Linked DNA regions of Coturnix japonica. The protein of the gene in region 3 purifies or fractionates together with the protein of the main gene of each other region. This does not show direct contact. Links are inferred from orthologs where the notes say so. Each region holds a gene or a part of one and is shown on either strand. Other genes may lie near its edges. The genes, in order: SPAG5, ARFGEF1 and MYCBP.

The links.
Region 1: the proteins of MYCBP (region 3) and SPAG5 purify together in Homo sapiens (co-immunoprecipitation; 3 studies listed by BioGRID and IntAct, with this or other methods). This does not show direct contact. The link is inferred for Coturnix japonica from reciprocal best matches to the Homo sapiens genes MYCBP and SPAG5.
Region 2: the proteins of MYCBP (region 3) and ARFGEF1 purify together in Homo sapiens (co-immunoprecipitation; 4 studies listed by BioGRID and IntAct, with this or other methods). This does not show direct contact. The link is inferred for Coturnix japonica from reciprocal best matches to the Homo sapiens genes MYCBP and ARFGEF1.

What each region holds. Positions count from the first base shown.
Region 1 is NC_029534.1:4,533,532-4,539,805, reverse strand, and holds the start of SPAG5 (sperm-associated antigen 5), read left to right. Parts: upstream 1-2,943; 5' UTR 2,944-3,404; coding exon 3,405-4,246; intron 4,247-4,327; coding exon 4,328-4,520; intron 4,521-4,636; coding exon 4,637-4,756; intron 4,757-4,828; coding exon 4,829-4,921; intron 4,922-4,996; coding exon 4,997-5,131; intron 5,132-5,219; coding exon 5,220-5,339; intron 5,340-5,441; coding exon 5,442-5,534; intron 5,535-5,622; coding exon 5,623-5,757; intron 5,758-5,880; coding exon 5,881-5,974; intron 5,975-6,061; coding exon 6,062-6,155; intron 6,156-6,262; coding exon 6,263-6,274. Other genes in the region: RSKR (ribosomal protein S6 kinase-related protein), read left to right, coding at 42-149, 242-282, 376-403, 529-618, 687-775, 861-1,271. UniProt on the Homo sapiens protein: Essential component of the mitotic spindle required for normal chromosome segregation and progression into anaphase. Required for chromosome alignment, normal timing of sister chromatid segregation, and maintenance of spindle pole architecture.
Region 2 is NC_029517.1:104,481,309-104,487,482, forward strand, and holds the end of ARFGEF1 (brefeldin A-inhibited guanine nucleotide-exchange protein 1), read right to left. Parts: intron 6,108-6,174; coding exon 5,978-6,107; intron 5,779-5,977; coding exon 5,639-5,778; intron 5,273-5,638; coding exon 5,104-5,272; intron 4,524-5,103; coding exon 4,385-4,523; intron 3,864-4,384; coding exon 3,746-3,863; intron 2,726-3,745; coding exon 2,561-2,725; 3' UTR 1,290-2,560; downstream 1-1,289. Other genes in the region: CSPP1 (centrosome and spindle pole-associated protein 1), read left to right, coding at 59-285. UniProt on the Homo sapiens protein: Promotes guanine-nucleotide exchange on ARF1 and ARF3. Promotes the activation of ARF1/ARF3 through replacement of GDP with GTP. Involved in vesicular trafficking.
Region 3 is NC_029538.1:2,897,287-2,903,560, forward strand, and holds MYCBP (C-Myc-binding protein), read left to right. Parts: upstream 1-3,502; 5' UTR 3,503-3,596; coding exon 3,597-3,611; intron 3,612-3,744; coding exon 3,745-3,817; intron 3,818-5,022; coding exon 5,023-5,071; intron 5,072-5,156; coding exon 5,157-5,286; intron 5,287-5,809; coding exon 5,810-5,854; 3' UTR 5,855-5,912; downstream 5,913-6,274. Other genes in the region: GJA9 (gap junction alpha-9 protein), read left to right, coding at 1,007-2,542. UniProt on the Homo sapiens protein: May control the transcriptional activity of MYC. Stimulates the activation of E box-dependent transcription by MYC.

The DNA.
Region 1 (6,274 bases), on a different chromosome or scaffold from region 3:
TGCGTGGCGCTGGGTGATGCTGCTGTGTCCCATCCTTGCAGTGTGTCCCTACTGCAGCACTGGGGACCTGCACGCTTTGTGGCGTGACGCCGGGTGCTTCACCGAGGCCACCGTGCGCCTGTTTGCAGCTGAGCTGGTGCTGGTGCTGGGTGAGTGGGGGCTCAGCCCCCCCTGAGGGTGGCAATGGTTGTGGGGCAGGGAGGGGGACACTCTGGTTCTGACAGCTCCATCTTGTCCCCAGTGTATCTCCATGACCTGGGCATCGTGCACAGAGATGTGAAGGTGGGTGATAGTGGGGAGGGGGGACAAAAAGGCACCGAGGGTCTTTGTATCCCCTGGCATTGAGGGCCCACCCCAGAGCTTGTTTTATTGCAGATGGAGAACATCCTCCTGGATGAGAGAGGTGAGGGGCTGCTGGCATCGGTATGGGGACATCCTGTGCACGGGGACATCCCATCTATAGGGTCACCCTGTGCATGGGGTCACCCCCCCCACGGACCCCTCCTCTTGCACTGTCTTACCTCCCAGGGCATCTCAAACTTGCTGACTTTGGCCTCTCCCGACACCTGGGCTGCGGTGAGCGGGCACACACCATCTGTGGCACCCTGCAGTACATGGGTAAGGGCACAGCGTGGGGGGATAAAGGGGGATGGCTGGGGGCACCACTCACCTCCTCATCCCCGCAGCCCCAGAGGTGCTGAGCGGGGGTCCATACAGCCACGCAGCCGACTGGTGGTCCCTGGGTGTCCTGCTCTTTGCCCTGGCCAGTGGGGAGGTGAGCACTGTGAGCACTGTGGGGTGATGATGGGCTTAAGGACACCAAACGGAGACCCTAAACCTGCTCCTTGCCCCCCCCCCAGTTTCCAGTGCCACCAGCCAGGGACCACGTGGCCATGCTGGAGCGTGTCAAAGAGAGCAGCTTTGTGAGCCCCCCCGCGCTCAGCCCTGCTCTGAGCCGACTGCTGGCAGAGGTGACCCCAACCCTTGTGCTCAGTGTCCCCACTGCTGCCCCCCTCGTTGCTCACCATCCATCCTCCCTCCGTTACCAGCTGCTGTGCCACAACCCCCTTCGCCGCCTGCGCTACCTCCACCACTTCCAGGCTCACCCTTTTTTCCGTGGGGTGGCTTTTGACGCCGAGCTGCTGCAGAAGGACCCTGTGCCCGTGGCCGTGGCCCCGCACCCCAACGAGCAGCCCCTGCCCGACCCAGCCACCTTCGACGACTTCGACTGCGACTTCACTGCCCCATTGAACCGGCCTTGGCCCGGCTGAGCCTGGGCTGGAGGGAACCCCCCCACCACGGAGGGACCCCGCAGCACTCAGGGACACGCCCCCCCTCTGTACCTCGCCCCACGGGTGCAATAAACCCAGACCAGACGGGAACGCTGTGGGTGTCTCCTGTGGGGCCATGCACTGACGGCAGAGGATGCACGGAGCTGAGACCAACATAGAACCCCCCCACCCAACATAGAACCCACCAACCCAACATAGAACCCCCCCCCCAACATAGAACCCACCAACCCAATACAGAACCCCCCCCCCAACCAACATTAGAACCCCCCCACCGAATACAGAATCCCCCCACCCAACACTGAACCCCCCCCATAAGTGACATCCAGCCCCATAAGTGGGTCCCAAATCGCCCCATAAGTGGGTCAAAATCGCCCCATAAGTGAGTTTGGGGGGTCCCAAACCCCATAAGTGGGTCCCAAATTGCCCCATAAGTGAGTTTGGGGGTCCCAAATCGCCCCATAAGTGACTCCCCAGCCCCATAAGTGGGTCCCCAGCCCCATAAGTGGGTCATAAGCCCCATAAGTGAACAGTGAACAACACAGACCCCCCCCCCCTTAGGGTCTCACATCACGCCGTGATTTCCCGCCAAGTGGGCGTGGCCAACACTACAAACCACGCCCACTCCGCACGTAGCCCCGCCCACAACCGACGTAGCCCCGCCCCCATCTCTGGACCAATCAGAAGCGCGCTGTGTTTTCAAATGGGCGGCGGGCAGCGGCGCAGCGGGAGCGTGGCCATGTCGGGAGCGTGCGGCAATGGCGTGAGTGGGGGAACGGGGGGGGGTTGGTCCCGGTTCTGGTCCCGGTTCTGGTCCCGGTTCCGGTTCCGGTTCTGGTCCCGTAGCCGCTGTTTATCGGGCTGAGAGTCCGCTATGACGCTACGGATGGGTCCCGGTAGCGGTTCTAGGGGCGGTTGGATGCGGGGCCGTTCGCTCGGTACCGGTTGGGGTGGGGGTGGTTCCGGTTCTGACCCGGTTCTGACCCGCTCCCCAGGCACCACGGCGCCCCCTGCAGGAGCTGCGGCTGCAGCCGGGAGCGGAGCGGACCAACATCACCCCATTGATGCGCAGGATGAGGATCAAGGTCGGGGTGGGGGGGGATGGGATGGGAGGAGGGGCAGCTATAGGGGGTCTATGGGGGGCTATAGGGGGTCTATGGGGCAGGCGTAAGGGGGTCTGTGGGGCGGCTCTAAGGGGGTCTATGGGGCAGCTATGGGGCGCTATGGGGCAGCTATGGGGCAGCTATGGGGCAGCTATGGGGCAGCTATGGGGCAGCTATGGGGCAGCTATGGGGCAGCTATGGGGTCTCTATGGGGCAGCTCTAAGGGGGTCTATGGGGCAGCTCTATGGGGCAGCTCTATGGGGCGGCCCTATGGGGGGTTCTATGGGGCAGCTCTATGGGGTCTATGGGGCACTGAAGTAGGTGTGTGGGGGTTGTTGCCCTGATTCCTCTCCCCTTCATTCTCCAGGACCATGATGCCGTCACTCCTGTACCCTGCACTCGATGTCCCCCCGGCCGTATCGCCCCGTTTCTTCCCGTAGCCGCTGTCCCGTGCCCCCCCTGCAGCATCGATGTGAAGCCCCCCAGCTCCTTGAAGCCCCTCCCGGAGCCCTCAGGCAATGCCATCCCAGACCTCATCAGCATCTCAGAGACCTCTGGCCATGTTGCCCTTGTTACAGATGCCCCCGAGCCCCCAGGTGATACCATCTCAGGGCCTGACACCCTGCTACCCCCGGGTGATACTCCCCAAGAGGACACCCCCCCAGAGACCCCCAGCAGGGCCCCCCCACAGCCCCTTGGCAGAGCCCCGCTGCCCTTCTTCCCATTCTCCCCCAGCCTCCTCCCCCCACTGCCTCCCTCTCCAGACCCCCCCAGCATCCCCCCCTTGGAGCTGCATAGTCCTGACCCTGCTGGCAGCCCCTCTATAGGGCCCTGCACTCTGGACTCCCCCGGCAGCCCCTCTCCAGGCCCCCCCGGTACCTCCACCCCACAGCACACTCCGTTCCATCGGTGGCGAGCAGCCCCCCCTGATCTCTCTTGCAGCCCCGTTTCTTCCCAGCCCCTGTCTGAGGATGGGGCTGTGGGTTCTCCTCCACATCCCAGCACATTAGGGATGGCTGGAACCCCAAGCCCTGCCCCAGCAGAGCAGTGCTCCCCCCAGGCTGAGGTAGTGGGCTCAGAGCCTGTAGGGGCAGCAGCAGCAGCAGCCCCCACCCCAATGTCTTTGTCTGAGCCGTCCCTGGGGGCTGTGTCCTGGTTAGCCCCCCTCGTGTGGCTGGAGAGGACCCTCCCCTCCTCGTCTGTGCTGGAATCCATACGGCGCAGCCTGCCCTTGTCTGTGTCATGGCAGGATGCTGCCACCAGCATCACCCCAGTGCCCACTGTAGCTATGGGTACCGCTGTCACCCCAGTGCCCACTATATCTATGGGTACCACTGTCACCCCAGTGCCCACCGTATCTATGGGTACCACTGTAACCCCAGTGCCCACCGTACCTGTAGGAAGCAGTGTCACCCCAGTGCCAACCACGGCCACAGGCACCAATGTCACCCCAGTGCCCACCGGAACCATTGCCACCAATGTCAGCCCGGTGCCCTGTGGAACCACTGCCACTAATGTCACCCCAGTACCCACTGGATCCATTGGCACCAGTATCACCCCAGTGCCCACTATGTCTATGGGCACCAGTATCACCCCAGTGCCCACAATGTCTATGGGCACCAATATCACCCCAGTGCCCACTATGTCTCTGGGCACCAGTGTCACCCCAGTGCTCACTATGTCTATGGGCACCACTGTCACCCCAGTGCCCACTATGTCTATGGGGACCAGTATCACCCCAGTGCCCACCGTGTCTATGGGCACCACCATGACCCCAGAGGAGAGGAGCTCTGGCACATCCAAGCCTGCCGATGCCAAGGACAGCGCTGCTGAGACCGACTCTCTGCTGTGGCAGTACGTGTCCCTGCTGTTTATGGGGTTGGGTTCCCATGCCATGTTCCCATCCCCAACCTTTGGGGTTCCCTCTGTTCACAGCTGTTCCCGGGATCAGCTGCGTTTGCTGCCCCGATCGGAGCTGGAGGGAAGGCTGGAGAGCACCCTGATCATCATCGAGGCGCTGTCACTGCAGCTGCGGGACCTGCAGGGCTCCCAGTGCCCACTGCCCACTGTGGGACCAGCAGGACAGAGGGATGCACACACACAGACTGATGTCACCCGGCCCCGGGGGGTGAGTGTCCCATCCTACAACATGCAGGAGGGGCTGTGAATCAGACCCTGCTGTGGCATGGAGTGCTGGGTGTGTATGGGGTTGCTATTGGGGTGCACATCCTGCCTTGTCTTTAGGAGGAGGGGATCTACCACGGCCTCTACGTGGAGCTGCGGAACAAGATGCAGGCTGTGCAGCGGCAGCGTGGGGCAGAGCTGGAGCTGGCACAGCAGCTGGCACGAGCAGTGGAGGCCATGGTCTGTATGGGGTCTGTATGGGGTCTGTATGGGGTTTGGGTGGTGCCATCATTGTCCTCATTCCTCCCTCAGGACGCATGGGCCGAGCGGCGTCGTGTGCTGCAGGAGGTGGCAGATGCTGCCCTGCAGGATGTACGGGGTGACCACGCGGTGCTGGAGCAGCAGGTGGGTATGGGGGGATGCAGGGATGTGGCTGAGGGGGGTGGCAGCTGGATGAGGAGGGCTGCTGTCCCATTGCAGCGGCTGCAGGTTCATGCCATGGTGTCCCGGTGCAACGTGCTGCTCCGTGCTGTCCCTGCCAAGCTGCGGAGCTGCCTGCAGGAGCGGGATGCTGCACAGCACAGAGCAGACGAAGCCCTTCGTGCTAAGCAGGAGGTAACGTGTCCCACACTGGGACGCTGCTGTCCCCACCTACAGATGGGGGGGTGTGATGAGCCTTGAGCTGTGCCCCCCCTTTCTGCAGGGTGATGGATTCCTGGAGGCGTTTCGCTCCCACGCTGCTGCCCAGATCGGTGCCCGCACGCAGAGCCTGGAGCTGCTGCAGGAGCTGAGCACGCTGCTGGCAGCTGCCATCCAGCAGCAGGTATAGCATGACCCCAAACCCTGCATGGTATGAGAGTCCTGACTCAGGGCTGTGCTCCCTATGGGATCCCTCCTTGCTTTCACTCCTTGCTTTCCTCTCTAGGTGTCCCTGGCTGCAGAGGCTCAGCCCTTCCGGCAATTCATAGACGTGACCTTTGCCAACCTGCAGGAGGAGCGTGGAGCTCTGGATGGGGAGGTGAGGGCTGTCCCAATGTCCCAACACTGGGTGTCACCCATGTCACCACTGCTCAGCCTAAGGCTGCCCCTGTCCCTGTCCCTTACAGCGGGAGCAGGTCCGTGCCCTGGTGTCTCGCTGCACGGCTGCGCTGCGGGATGTCTCCACTAAGCTGCACAGCTGTATGCAGGAGCGGGATGCTGCAATGCAACGGGTGGAGGAAGCTCTCCAAGCCAAGGAGGAGGTAATGGGGCCACCCAGTGCACCTCAGGGATCAATAAGGAAAGGGATTTGTGGGGGCTGACCTATGGAGGATATGGGGAATGGAGGGTGTGGGATGCTCTGTGTTAACCCCACATCTCTGCAGGTGTCCCAACAGCTGGAGAAGACCCTGGAGGCTCTGCAGGATGCGATGACGCAGGGGGAGCAGCTGGCAGTCACCAACTCACGGCTCAGCACAGGTGGTGATGGGGGAGGAGGGCAGAGTTATAAGGGGGTGGCAGCGGGGTGTGGGGTGTTCCTGTGCTCACAGCTCTTCCCCCCTCCAGATCTGAGCATGGTGATGAAGCAGCTGGCCAGCCTGCAGCAGGAGCAGGACACGCTGCTGCAGGACTACGAGGAACAGAAGGAGCAGATGAGCAGGTCTGTGTGCATGTCCCCTCTCAGCACCCCCATCTATCCCTTGGGGTGTCCCCCCGCCCTGTGGCTTATCTCCACGCCTTGGAGCTTATCTCCTCCCTTGGTGTCAGGCTGAGCAAGGA
Region 2 (6,174 bases), on a different chromosome or scaffold from region 3:
TTTTCAACCCAGGCCATTCTATGACTCTGATTCTCACCCGTGTTGCTCTTCTCCCCAGGTGCGGATGTAGCCCCAGGAGAAGCAGATGACCTGATGAAGCCCCCCCCCTCCAAAGACAGCCGCCCGCCCAGTTCTGCTGACTCCATCGCCACTGAGCCCTGGCTGCGACCGGGAACGGCTGCAACGCTCCACAGGTTCCTGACTGAGCAGCAGAGCCCGGCAAAGCTGCCTCCCGATGGTGCTCTGCCGCTGGGCTGGCAGGGCCTCTCCACCGCACACGGCTGAGCGCGGCCTGTGTGGAACCCACGTGTGCCTTGCAGCAAGGGAAGGAACGTCCTGTTCAGCACTACTGCACTTTTTGGGTCACTCCTAGGGACAGCTGTACTCAGTGTGAATAGTGTGGAGCTCTATGTCTAATTTCAAGTAGCAATAATGAAGAAACAGAAGCTGCAGTGTGGTGGGGACCCTCAGCGCAGGGTTCTGCACCGTGTGGCAGTGGCGCATTGAAGTACTTTGGCATTTCTTGCACTTTTTATACAAGTTGGTTTCGGCCTCAGAGGGGGATCTGCTGGGAACGGGGTGTGTGTGTGAATTTGATATTCAATCAGAGTTATGTTTTACCTTTGTTCGTAGCAAAACTCTTAAGAGTGTTTGTTTGCAAACAGTGACACAGCAGGGAGGTGCTGTTTGAGCTTTAAGAGTGAACAGCCTCGAGGGGGCACTTCCCCTTCTCAGTGCTGAACGTGTGCTGTTGTGGTGAGCTGTTAGATGGAAGAACTGTTAGCATTATATCTATCTTACCTTCCTAACCTGGTTTGTGTTGGAGATGCAGATAGTGCGATATATATATATTTATGTTTCTGATTTAAGAGGTCACAATAAATTATTTTGGTACTAAAATCAGCAGTAGTGGTGAGGTGCTGTCACTTCCCATCTCATGAAGGAAGGCCAATGACGGTGGTGCAGTGGTAGGAATGCCACGTTGCAACACCAGAGGCCCGGGTTCGAATCCCCCTGTGGCGCAAGTGGTAGAAGTGCCGCTCTGCTACACAGGGGCTCGAATCCCGGGGGTTGGACTCGATGATCTCTAAGGTCCCTTCCAACCCGCACGAGACTGTGATACTGTGAAGCAGGGGCTGCCCAGTCCCTCTTCAAAGCAGGAGAAACCCTGAGCAGCTCCACTCTCCTGCAGCATCCACAGCTTCCAGCACAACCCCATCCTCTCTTGCTTACAAGCAGTGGAGCTTTGGCAAAGGAAGGTATAAAACAAGTGCTGTGGCTTAGGCTGGTTTTGATTGCACTGATGAAAGAGTTCAAAAACTTTATTGACCTATAACCCGATTAGATTATGCCAGATGAGAACCAAATATTGTACAGAAAGTTGTACAGAATTTTTTTTTACATAGAAAACTTTACATATCTGTACCATATACATTTTGTCCATCTGAAAAAAATTTCTACATCCATTGTAATACAGAATGCTTTGACAATCTCGTCTGTTAACCATCAGAGCACAATTCACAGTATGAATACATCTCCAATAAATTGAACCATCCCCAAGCCATGCCCGATTTGTTACTCGAATATATTCCACGTTAAATTCTGTACATCAGAGTGAAATCTACATCAAACGAAAAAACAGGTGACAGCAGACACAACCTAGACTTGTTTGCGGTGATTCGCGTTCCAGTCCTTGAAGGATCGTCGTTTTGATGGCTCGTTATACTGAGAAGCCCTAAGACAAGTATATTACAGGTAGTTATGTCAGTCGTGGTACCTCTAACCTCTGCTCTCCACCAAAGTCAGCAACACCAACTGCTGGGCTACAACGAAACCGGAGAAAGAAACCACAGCCCCCCCCGCAACAGCCCCAAACCTGTAGTGCATCTGGTGAACAACCGAGTGCGCTGGGTTTCCAACAACTCAAAACCACAGAAAGAAAACAATTCAGGAAGAACTGTATAGTGTTAAAGAGTTTATATTACAGACCTGCATCTCTGTACATTTTCACAGGAGGATGATTTACCAATGTCTCAGTCAGCCTGAGTGTGCAAAAAAATCTTAGAATATCAGCCACGGGTGCTAATGAACCTTTCCCATGAGCGATAATCTCCTTTTTCTTTTCACTATAAACATCTGATCCTTCAAATACAGCTCTCCTGAGTTGTACTCGCAGAAGCTCAAACCTTTACATACCGAGTTCTTTGGCTACGTTCTCCTTCCACACCCGCCACCAACATCTGTTGCTCTACTGCTGCCTGGGATGGGAAAGGATGGCGCAGCCCACGCTGACGAGAGGACTGTGCTAAAAACTGGCTCTGTGCTCAGCACCAGCCAGGGCAGAGAAACCCACAGACAACCCATCAGGAAATAAAGAGACTGGAGTGTTGCAAGCCTTAATTACAGGTGTAAGCATCTGTACCATTCATCCTTAGATACAACGCTGCCGTACAAAGAAACCATTTCTATGGATGCCCAGACAGAACGGCTCCGCTCCCTGGTCCTTTTATTTAGCTGAGGAAGTTACACTTGTAAGGGAGCAATCCCCAGTCACTACGTGCTACTGCTTGCCTAGTGCAGCCTCGTGCTCTGCTGGTTGGGATATCTGAAAAACCACGCCAATCCGCAGGAAGAACCTTCGCAGAACAGCTCGGAGTTCAGGGATAAGGTCAAACTGCATGATTTCACACAAGAGAGGGTAGTAGAAGGAGGCGTGAGCCTTGAACTGAGGAGAAAACAAACAAACAGAGCAGGTTATTCCATAAGGCAGCAGCACAACTCAGAGAGCTGCGAGTGAAGGATTTCAAGTGCTCTCCTAAGGCAAGGTGAGAAATCCACACAGTGACAAGCTGAAGCATCACTGTAACAGAAGCTGGCAGTGCTGGGATAAGGCTAAGGCAGCTGTCAGATGCTCACTGGCTGCGTGCATATCTCTAACTCTTACACATCAACAGGAGGAATTTTGCCCTTATCCATTACATCTGAGGTAGGGGCTGGCCTCCCTCACTTAACACTTCAGCCAAGTTCTGCTAGAAATGGAGGGAGATCTAAATTCAGATCTATTTAATCTGGAACTGCTTTGGGAAAGGTCAAGGCAACATGGGAACCAAAACCAGGAGTTATTTCCAAGCAGTACCAGCCACTAACCCTTCTCCTCAGCAAGAGAGGCATAAAAACAACCTAAAACACATTTCTAAACGATTTTAGCATCTTTAAAAGATCCTCAGACAGTCAGCAGTCACTGTACCCCCATTCGGCACTGCAGTCATTGGTAACCACTACTCAGTTACACAGATTTCCACAACACACAACCCTACAGAGCAGCAGGAACCTCTGAAGCGAAGTGCATGGCTGCGTGCCAAGAGCTGCTGGTCTGAAATAATATTTAATGCAGCATTTATAAATACCTGAGGTGTGGGAGCCATAGTGGCAAGGCTGGACTCTTTTCAGTAGTGCGTGGGGACAGGACTAGGGGTAATGGGATGAAACTACAGCATAGGAAGTTCTGCACGAATGTGCGGAAGAACTTTACAGTGAGGGTGACGGAGCACTGGAACAGGCTGCCCAGGGAGGTGGTGGAGTCTCCTTCTCTAGAGATATTCAAGACCCACCTGGATGCCTACCTGTGTGACGTGGTGTAGGGAGCCTGCTTTGGCAGGGGGGTTGGACTCGATGATCTCTAGAGGTCCCTTCCAACCCCTACAATTCTGTGATTCTGTGATTTCAAGATGTTCCCATTACCTACCCTTTCATCACTTATCTTCAGAACCTTAGTCAAAAATAAGAGCAGCAGATTAGTCCAGGCCTCCCGATGGCTTTCGGATGTGAGAGTAAGAAAGTAACTCAGAGCCTCGCTGCAGACACTGGAGAGAGAAGACAGAAACCAGTAACTCACATTGTATTTTGAGCTCCTCTGCAGGGCGAGCTTTGGCTTTGTAATCAGCTACAACAGCACAGAGACCCAGCAAAGCACCACATCGCTCTGAGAAACCTCAGTATTGAACAGGATTATGAACTGTGATAGCAGTGTTTGCACATCCTACGTAAATGGTACCAAGTGCTCTCTGAGGGGTGTTGGAATGCAAGACTGAATGACACAATGGAGACAATCTCATGCTGATGCAAGAACAGAGTTTTTCATCTTTGCTCCTTGGTCTATCAAACCTTAAAATACCTCCATTCTTTCTCCAGCACAGTCTGAAGCCCTCTGTTGTTCTAACTCTGGCTTGAAGGACTTTGTAAACTAAGAACATTCAGGTGAATCTGAGTGGATTATAATAAATATTCAACAATGAAAAAACAACGTGCAAATAAACAAGCAAACCCAAACCAGCACACTCTTTAACAGACATAACAGCAACAGGTTCTGCTACATGGCCCTTACTTTAGCAGCCTTTGCTGGACTTCTTCCCATGCACTGGTTCGGCTCTCATCCATGTACATGCGGAACAGAATGCGTAACCCACAGGCAAGGCTGCTCGTCTCCTGTTTCAGAAGATTGGGCTTGGATTTGCCTTTAAAACCTAAAGAAATTCAAAGAATTCATTTAGGGTTTTGTGTGTTTCATTTTCATACCTCTCCTGAGCGTGCCCTGCATAACAGAGAGTTAACATTCGTTAACATATAACATACAATACATACAGACAGCAATAATACATGTTTATATAAATATATATTTCTAAGTGCTTATTTTGTAACGTATATTATGTATTTATAGATTAATAATGCTAATTTCAGTGCAAGGAATAGACTGAACTGCTTCGGTACAGAGATTCTATTTTCAACCCGTTCTGGAAAACACCACGTATTTCAAGAAGAGACCTGTTAGCCCCACAACCCTCCTAATGCTGTTTTGTACCTGCAGTTTTGCACCTACAGCCAGCATTTAACGTGGCAGCTGTGTACACCCAAATGCAGCCCATTACATCTTTGGAAATTCAAAAGGCATTTGCACCCGTATAACTGGGGCCTCCTCCACTTCGGGGTGTCTAAGGTTATAAAATTACAGCACCGCTGTATTTTTAGACCTTTTTTTCCTCATCAATTCAAAGCCCAGCAGCACGTTCTTGAAGAACCTCTCTCCACAGAGACTGACTGACTCACCCGCTTTCCAGAGAGCGGTTCTTTGTTCATTGTTGGAATTGAAGGCCTTAGCAAACCTGTGAGATTCCAGCAGGCAATCGAGGAGTTTGAAAAGCTGCTGTGATGTCAGAAAACGATACATCCCTTGATCTTGTGTATCCACGTGGACATCAAAATCTACTGCATCTCTCTTTTTGGGGAAAAGGAGAGGAAGATTTCAGGTCAGAACTGACAACTGCCTTCATTAAGCTCCTGTGACATCACAACCCTACCCTGTTCTTATCTGTGTCTGTACTTAAACTTAAAACTGTATGAAAAATCGCACCAGTATCCCAGGTTGGAGAGATCACTGAACAATAAACATCCCCATCTCCACAGTGTACCACAGAAGCACAGCAAACCCAATTGTACACAAGCTGTAAAAGATCTCAACAGTCTGCTGCACGTTCTCTAGAACTTCTAAAAGCTGTAAATTCCGAGTTCCAGGAGTTCATGAAACTTTATGCACTTGAGAAGAAGCTGCTAAAGAGAGAACACACCTGTACATTTCACTTACTTGTGCTGCCGCTAGATTCTCTGCATCCTCTTTTTTGCTGGTTGCAGGGAAGAACACAATGTTGTCGATAGTCTGAATGAGTTCCAGTTGTACAACGCACTTGATCAGAAGGGCAGCAAATAACTTCTGTTCTGGAAATTCTTTCAGAAAAGAAATTGGTGCTTAGCTTACAACACTACGGTATTATCTTAATTCTTAAAAGCTGAGACAAAAATGTAATCCAGGCCATTTTTTTCCAAGTGATGTTTCTTAAATTACAGTTGGAGCTATAACTAAAGACATCACCTGCTAAGCATGACTCAACTGATACAGGATACCAAACCACTCAGAAACACGCACTTGCTGTTGATCTGGCTTTGCTCACTTCTTCACTTCCCGTAGGCACTGCACTGGGTTGATGTGGGCGTCCATCTGAAGATCTCGGTTGAACAGTATCATGAATATCTACAGACTTCTGGGAGATTGTATCCTATAAAGAAGCCCCAGAAATTATTACCAGAGAACTTCTGTGAGCTAATCATCAATAGCAGCGTGCT
Region 3 (6,274 bases):
TCCGGTGGGGACATCAACAGTTCAACACACGGATGGAAGATGTCAGGGCTTGTCAGTGGACACCATAGAGCTTAATGTTACACATTTTCTGTAAAGAAAGGTATGTTTTGTTTCTAATGTGCTGTTTATCTTAGTTTGTTTCTCTTTTATGATGTCTGACACCTCTTTGTCTGCCAGTTTGAAAGTGTATTTTCGTGTTTAATTGTGGTCTTAATGTAACATTTCCTCTGTAGTCAGAGGCAGAGCAGCCACAAGAATTTAACATCCATTTACTTCCTTAACATTCTTGTTTTACAGCACGAAAACTAATCACATTTGAACTGAAAACTCTGTGTCAAATGACCTATATGCTAAAAAATCAGATTATGCTGCTTTTAATGTGATTGAAGTCCAAACAAAGTAACGTTATATCTACAGACAGAACCGTTTATGAAGCCAGCAGATAATTTTTTGCACAAGTCATTCATTTTCTCATAGGCTCGTGGGCAAAGGTAGCAGCACTTGGTGCTTGGATACTGTTCTGTACTTCAAACAGAGGTGTCATGAAGCAGAACTGGACTGGTGACGGGGGGTTGTTTATTTGCTTAGCACTAGGGGACAGGAAGTATTTTCTCTGTTTGCCTGCAGATACCTTCTCAGGTATCCTACAGATAAATATCCCACTGTCACAGTGGCATCTATTGGATGATGGGGAAGCAGATCCCTGCATGTCCAGTCCTGCTGTGAGGCAGGCACTGTATTTTCACTGACTCAGATGCATTGGGGGTGCTGCATACCTCATAGTTACATCCTTGCCTGAGTGTCTATTAGTGATAAATTAGACACAGGTGGACAACTTTGCCTCATAGCTGAGGAATAATAATGCCTACAGTGCCAACGAGTAGTGTCATGTTGCAATTGACACCGTGTGATGGTGTCATCCGTTTTATAATGAAGGGCTGCAGCTTTTACAGTTATCTGATGCTTGCTCTCTCATACGTTCCAGTGTTAAGATGGCACAATAACCATGGGAGACTGGAATTTCCTTGGAGGCATTCTGGAGGAGGTTCACATTCACTCCACTATTATTGGCAAGATTTGGCTAACCATCCTCTTCGTGTTCCGAATGCTTGTCCTTGGAGTGGCCACTGAGGACGTCTGGAATGATGAACAGTCAGAATTTATCTGCAACACAGAGCAACCTGGCTGCAGCAATATATGCTATGATGAGGCCTTCCCCATCTCTCTCATAAGATACTGGGTCTTGCAAGTTATCTTTGTGTCTTCTCCTTCTTTGGTGTATATGGGTCATGCCTTATACAGACTAAGAGCCTTAGAGAAAGAGAGACAGAAGAAGAAAGTTCAGGTGAGAGTGGAACTTGAAAGCACTGAATTAGAAATGACAGAATACAGGAGAAGGCTGGAGAGGGAACTCCGGCAGCTGGACCAAAGGAAGCTGAACAAAGCACCCCTACGAGGTTCATTGCTCTGCACTTACGTGATACATATTTTCACCAGGTCTGCAGTGGAAGTTGGTTTCATGATTGGGCAGTATCTGCTTTACGGGTTTCGCCTGGATCCCCTTTATAAATGTCACAGAGATCCATGTCCAAATGTAGTCGACTGCTTTGTATCACGACCAACTGAAAAGACAGTATTCATCCTATTCATGCAGTCAATAGCGACCGTATCATTGCTTTTAAATGTCTTGGAGATTATCCACCTTGGATTCCGTAAGATTAAAATAGGTCTGTGTGGGCAGGAGGAAAACAAGGATGATCGTGGGAATTTCTATACAAACAAATGCAAGAAATACTCAGTGATACCCCGCTCTTCTCTGGGAATATCTGCAACTCCTCCAAAAACTCTCCCTTCTGTACTTGGTGGTTATGCCTTTTTAATGGAGAAGCAAACAGACACTGCCATCTACCCAGCCTTAAACTCTGCTCCCATCTTCCAGCCCATTCAAAACAACCACGCAGAAAACAGAGGCAATTACACCCAGCACAACCAGGAAAACAAACTGCCCAAGAAAAGGCCAGCTACGAATGCTTTAGCTGGTCAGACTCCGAATGCCAGCACAGAGTGCAGGGAAGGTTTGCTGGGCAGACCTGCGACTGAAAGGAGGAACTCGCAGAAAGAAGCTGATCAGAAACACCTCCTTGCTGGTACTCAGAATGCAGATACAGCTTCGAGAAGCTTTGCTGAGATGCTGTCGCAGCCTCCCCTGCAGCCTTTTCCTGTTGCCAGCCTCAGAAGACAGCACGGAATCATCTCCTCCTGGAACTGCTGCACAGCAGCTGAGAGTGTTGGATCCTCCACAAACTCCCTTACAAAGAGCAGCAGCAGGAGACGGAGCAGCCTCAGTGCAAGCCAACTGCCCCCCAAAGCTGACACCCGGCACCCCAGCCGCCCCAACACCCCTGATTCAGCAGGGGAGGCCAGCACTGGCTCCAAGCAGAGCAGGGGCTGTGGCAGCCCCCAACCACTGCCCTTATCAGGGCGGCTGTCGCTGTCAAGCAGTGCAAGCAGCCGGAGAGCCCCCACCGACCTGCAGATATAGCATGGCTGCCCAAGCACTGTGCTTGGGTAACTGCTGGGCTTTGTGATAAGAGCAGCCCAGGAGCAGCTTCCTCATTCAGCTTTAACCAGTTCTTCCGCAGAGGTTAAGATAGAAGCTCAGCCCTTTGCTTTTAGCTCAGTAACTTCTTGCTTCGCTGGCGATGGAGGGATGGCTTCAACCTCTGTGCCAATCTTCTGCATTAACCTTCCAGCTAAGGAGAACATATACATCATATACACCATATACATAATATACACCATATACATAATATACACCATACACAACATATACATCATATACACCATATACATCATTTACATCATATATACATCATATACAACATATACATCATATACATCATTTACACCATATACATCATATACATCATATAAATCCACATACAAAGCCACACAGGAGGAGAAGCTGGGATTACAATAGCTGGTAATATGTAAGCAATAAACATAAAAGAACAAATTACAGTCTCAGAATCTATTGTATGGAGACCAGTAAATGAAATGAGGTGGAAGATCCATTCACTGCAGGTGTTTCTCCAGCAGCTGCTGTTTGTGTTCTCAGTGTGTGTGCGTTCAGCTCTGTGTAGATGTAGGGTTGGACATTTTGGATATATTTAGGTGCTATTATGCTCATTTAACCCCATGCTGTGTATGTGAATACCCCATTTGCATTTGACACCTCTATAGCAAAAAACGTGTTGACTTCACAGCTTAAAGAGCAAAGAGACAGCACTGAGGGGCTCGTATGTAGCAGCTCAAGAGTCTGGAAGGTTAGAAAGGAACCCAAAGGGCAGATATAGGGCTCTGAATGGGTTCTTATTGCCAGCCATATAGACCAACATATCTATATAGATACAGGTATAGATACAGGGCCAGGCCGAAGCCTGCAAGCACCGCGCATGCGCAAACCTCCCACAACCGGAAGGCCTAGTCGCAGAGATAGAGACCGGGACTTCCGGTTGGGTCGCCATGCCAACGGTAGGAAGCCGGGGCCGCCATATAAGAGGCGGGCGGTGGCGGTGCGGGCGTTGCGGGGTTAGATGGCGCACCACAAGGTAGGGGCTGCGGGCCCGAGAGGGTGGAGGGGCCTTCCTTATAACCCCCCAAACCCTTGGTGGTGGGGAGGGGTCGAGCTGTGTGTAGGTAGGGATGTGCCGGTGCTCTGACAGTGTGGGCGTCCTCCTTCAGGCCGCGGATTCGAAGAGGGAGCAGTTTCGGCGCTACCTGGAGAAGTCGGGGGTGTTGGATACGCTCACTAAGGGTAAGGAGGATTGAAGGCCTGTATGGGTTGGGTTGGGGCCGAGCAATGGGAATGTGCTGTGCCAGCCCCCTAATACTGGGGTTTAATGGAGGTGTCTGTGCTTATCTGGATAGGAAAGAAAAGCACGTTGAAAGCTCAACGTATTTATCTCTTTCTTATGGCTCACTGTGCTTTAAATGATTGCTAAGGGGTATGATTTAGTGTAGGGTTGTTTTAGGGTTCTGGTTAGGCTGTGGTTGGGCTTGATGATCTTTGAGGTCTTTTCCAATCTGCATAATTCTATGATCCCTTTGTGCTCTCAAGATCCTTTCAACATGGTGTTATATTCCTACTTAATAAAGCACGTTGCTTATGGGGTGTAGCAGCTGTGAGGGGTGTGCTCTGTGCTCAGCCCAGGTGTGTTGGAGCCCTTTGATTTCCTCTGGCTGTGGCTGTGCTGTTGCAATGTGGAAGCAAAACAAATCTTCCAAGCCCTGCAGCAAGCAAGTTTGGCTTCTAACTTTAAGTGTTTAGCTTAAAACTGTGCAGTTTGTGTGGCTGAAAATGGGAGGGAGGCGCTTAAGCTCCTTGAGAAGCATTTATCAAAGCAGAATGGTGGGGTGTGTGTGTGTTATGTCATTCATTTTGTGCTCCATAATCACAGAATGACCCGGGTTGGAAGGGACCTCAAGGATCATGTAGTTCCAACCCCCCTGCCTGGCAGGGCCACCAAACATACACCTTTACTAGATCAGGTTGCCCAGGAGACCCCATAGAGACCCCATAGATCAGGTTGCCCATGGCCCCGTCCAACCTGGCCTTGAACACCTCCAAGGACGGGGCATCCACAACCTCCCTGTGCAGCCTGTTCCAGGGCCTAACCACTCTCCTAGTGAAGAACTTCCCCCTAACATCCAACCTAAATCTTCCCTCTTTTAACTTAAAACCATTTCCCCGTGTCCTGATATTGTCAGCCCTATCGTCCCCTGTGGGTCAAAGAAATCCCTTCTGCCCACCCATTGAAGTATAGGATGCTCTGTTTCACCTTGTGCATGACTAAGATACTATGATGATGATCTCTGTCCTTAACATGAAGGATATAGGTGAGAATCTTGAACATGCTGTGAGCTTGGTGTGCAACTTGTATTTATTCTGTCTGCTGTATGTGTTTTGGAAACTAGAGTTGCATGGATGTCTTATAATGGTTGTTCGTCTTGTATTTGCAGTGTTAGTGGCCTTATATGAAGAGCCAGAGAAACCAAGCAGCGCACTGGAGTATCCTTTCTGTCCTCTATGGGTTGGTTCTTGCTGTTATAAGCAGCCTGTTGAGCTGAGGAAATACTTAACATCACAATATCAGCTTTTTGAAGCATCACCTGGGAGCTTCAGCTCCTGAGAGTCCAGAAATGGAGGCGCTTCGTATGGAACTGGTAGAGCTGAAGGAGAAATACGAAGCTGTGCTGGAAGAGAATGAGAAACTGAAATCCAAAGTAAAAGTCTATTTAGTGTTCAAGTCTTTTTAGTATTCCTAAGTACTTCTGTGTTTGATAAGGGTGCTTTGGCACTTATAATACAGCTAACTTTCACTGCCATAACTGATTATGATGTTATAGGGTTTGGCCTTGGGAATATTATCTCATTCCTTGCCTATATGTAGCTTCTGATGGAAGACTTGTATTCTGAAATGCAGTTTTTGCTAACAAAATAAGTAAATTAAGGGATAGTGGGAAACTCCATCTCATCATTCAGTCCCATTTGTTATCTGATAATGTGTATATGGTTCCATAAGAGCTTTGTAAAGCAGGGCTGGGGGGAAGCTAATGCTTTTCTATTCAGGCATTCCAAAGCAGGAGGGGAAATAGTGTTAGTTATTGAGGCCTGGCATGGGTCTGTGGCTGGGTTTTACCACAGGAGGTCACCCTTTACCCCTATGGAACATTAACATCCAACTCTGCTGCTCCTGTGTCTTTTAAGATGCCCCATCTAACTGATTGCCTCTCTTTAAATCCACAGCTGGCTCAATATGAACCACCTGAAGAAGAGAAGCGTGATGAATAACAGTAGTTTCTCCTTTCGTACCTTGGCTTTATTAATAAAGGGCTTATTGTGAACCGCACTCCTGCTTCTTCTATGTGAGTGCTGTGTGTCTCTGTGGGTATCTCAACTATAAGGACAAGCAGGGGGTGTGCAGCTCTATTTGTGGTCAGTCATTTTACTTCCGTGTGTGTAGGAAGGAGCTGAAAGAGGAAATAACACAGTGTAAGAGTTTCAAAGGCAAAACAACCCCCAACTCTATTGCAGGAGGTAAATTAGAGTGTATAGCATGTGTGTGCAGGCTGAGAAGGGGCTGATCTATGTATATATGGGGCTCCATATATCGGCTCGGCCCCATGTCCCCACCCTCGCCGTCATATGACCGGAGCGTCTCCCAGCACCTCCTCCATCGGCTGCGAGAAGCTTCGTTGTCAACCAATAGGG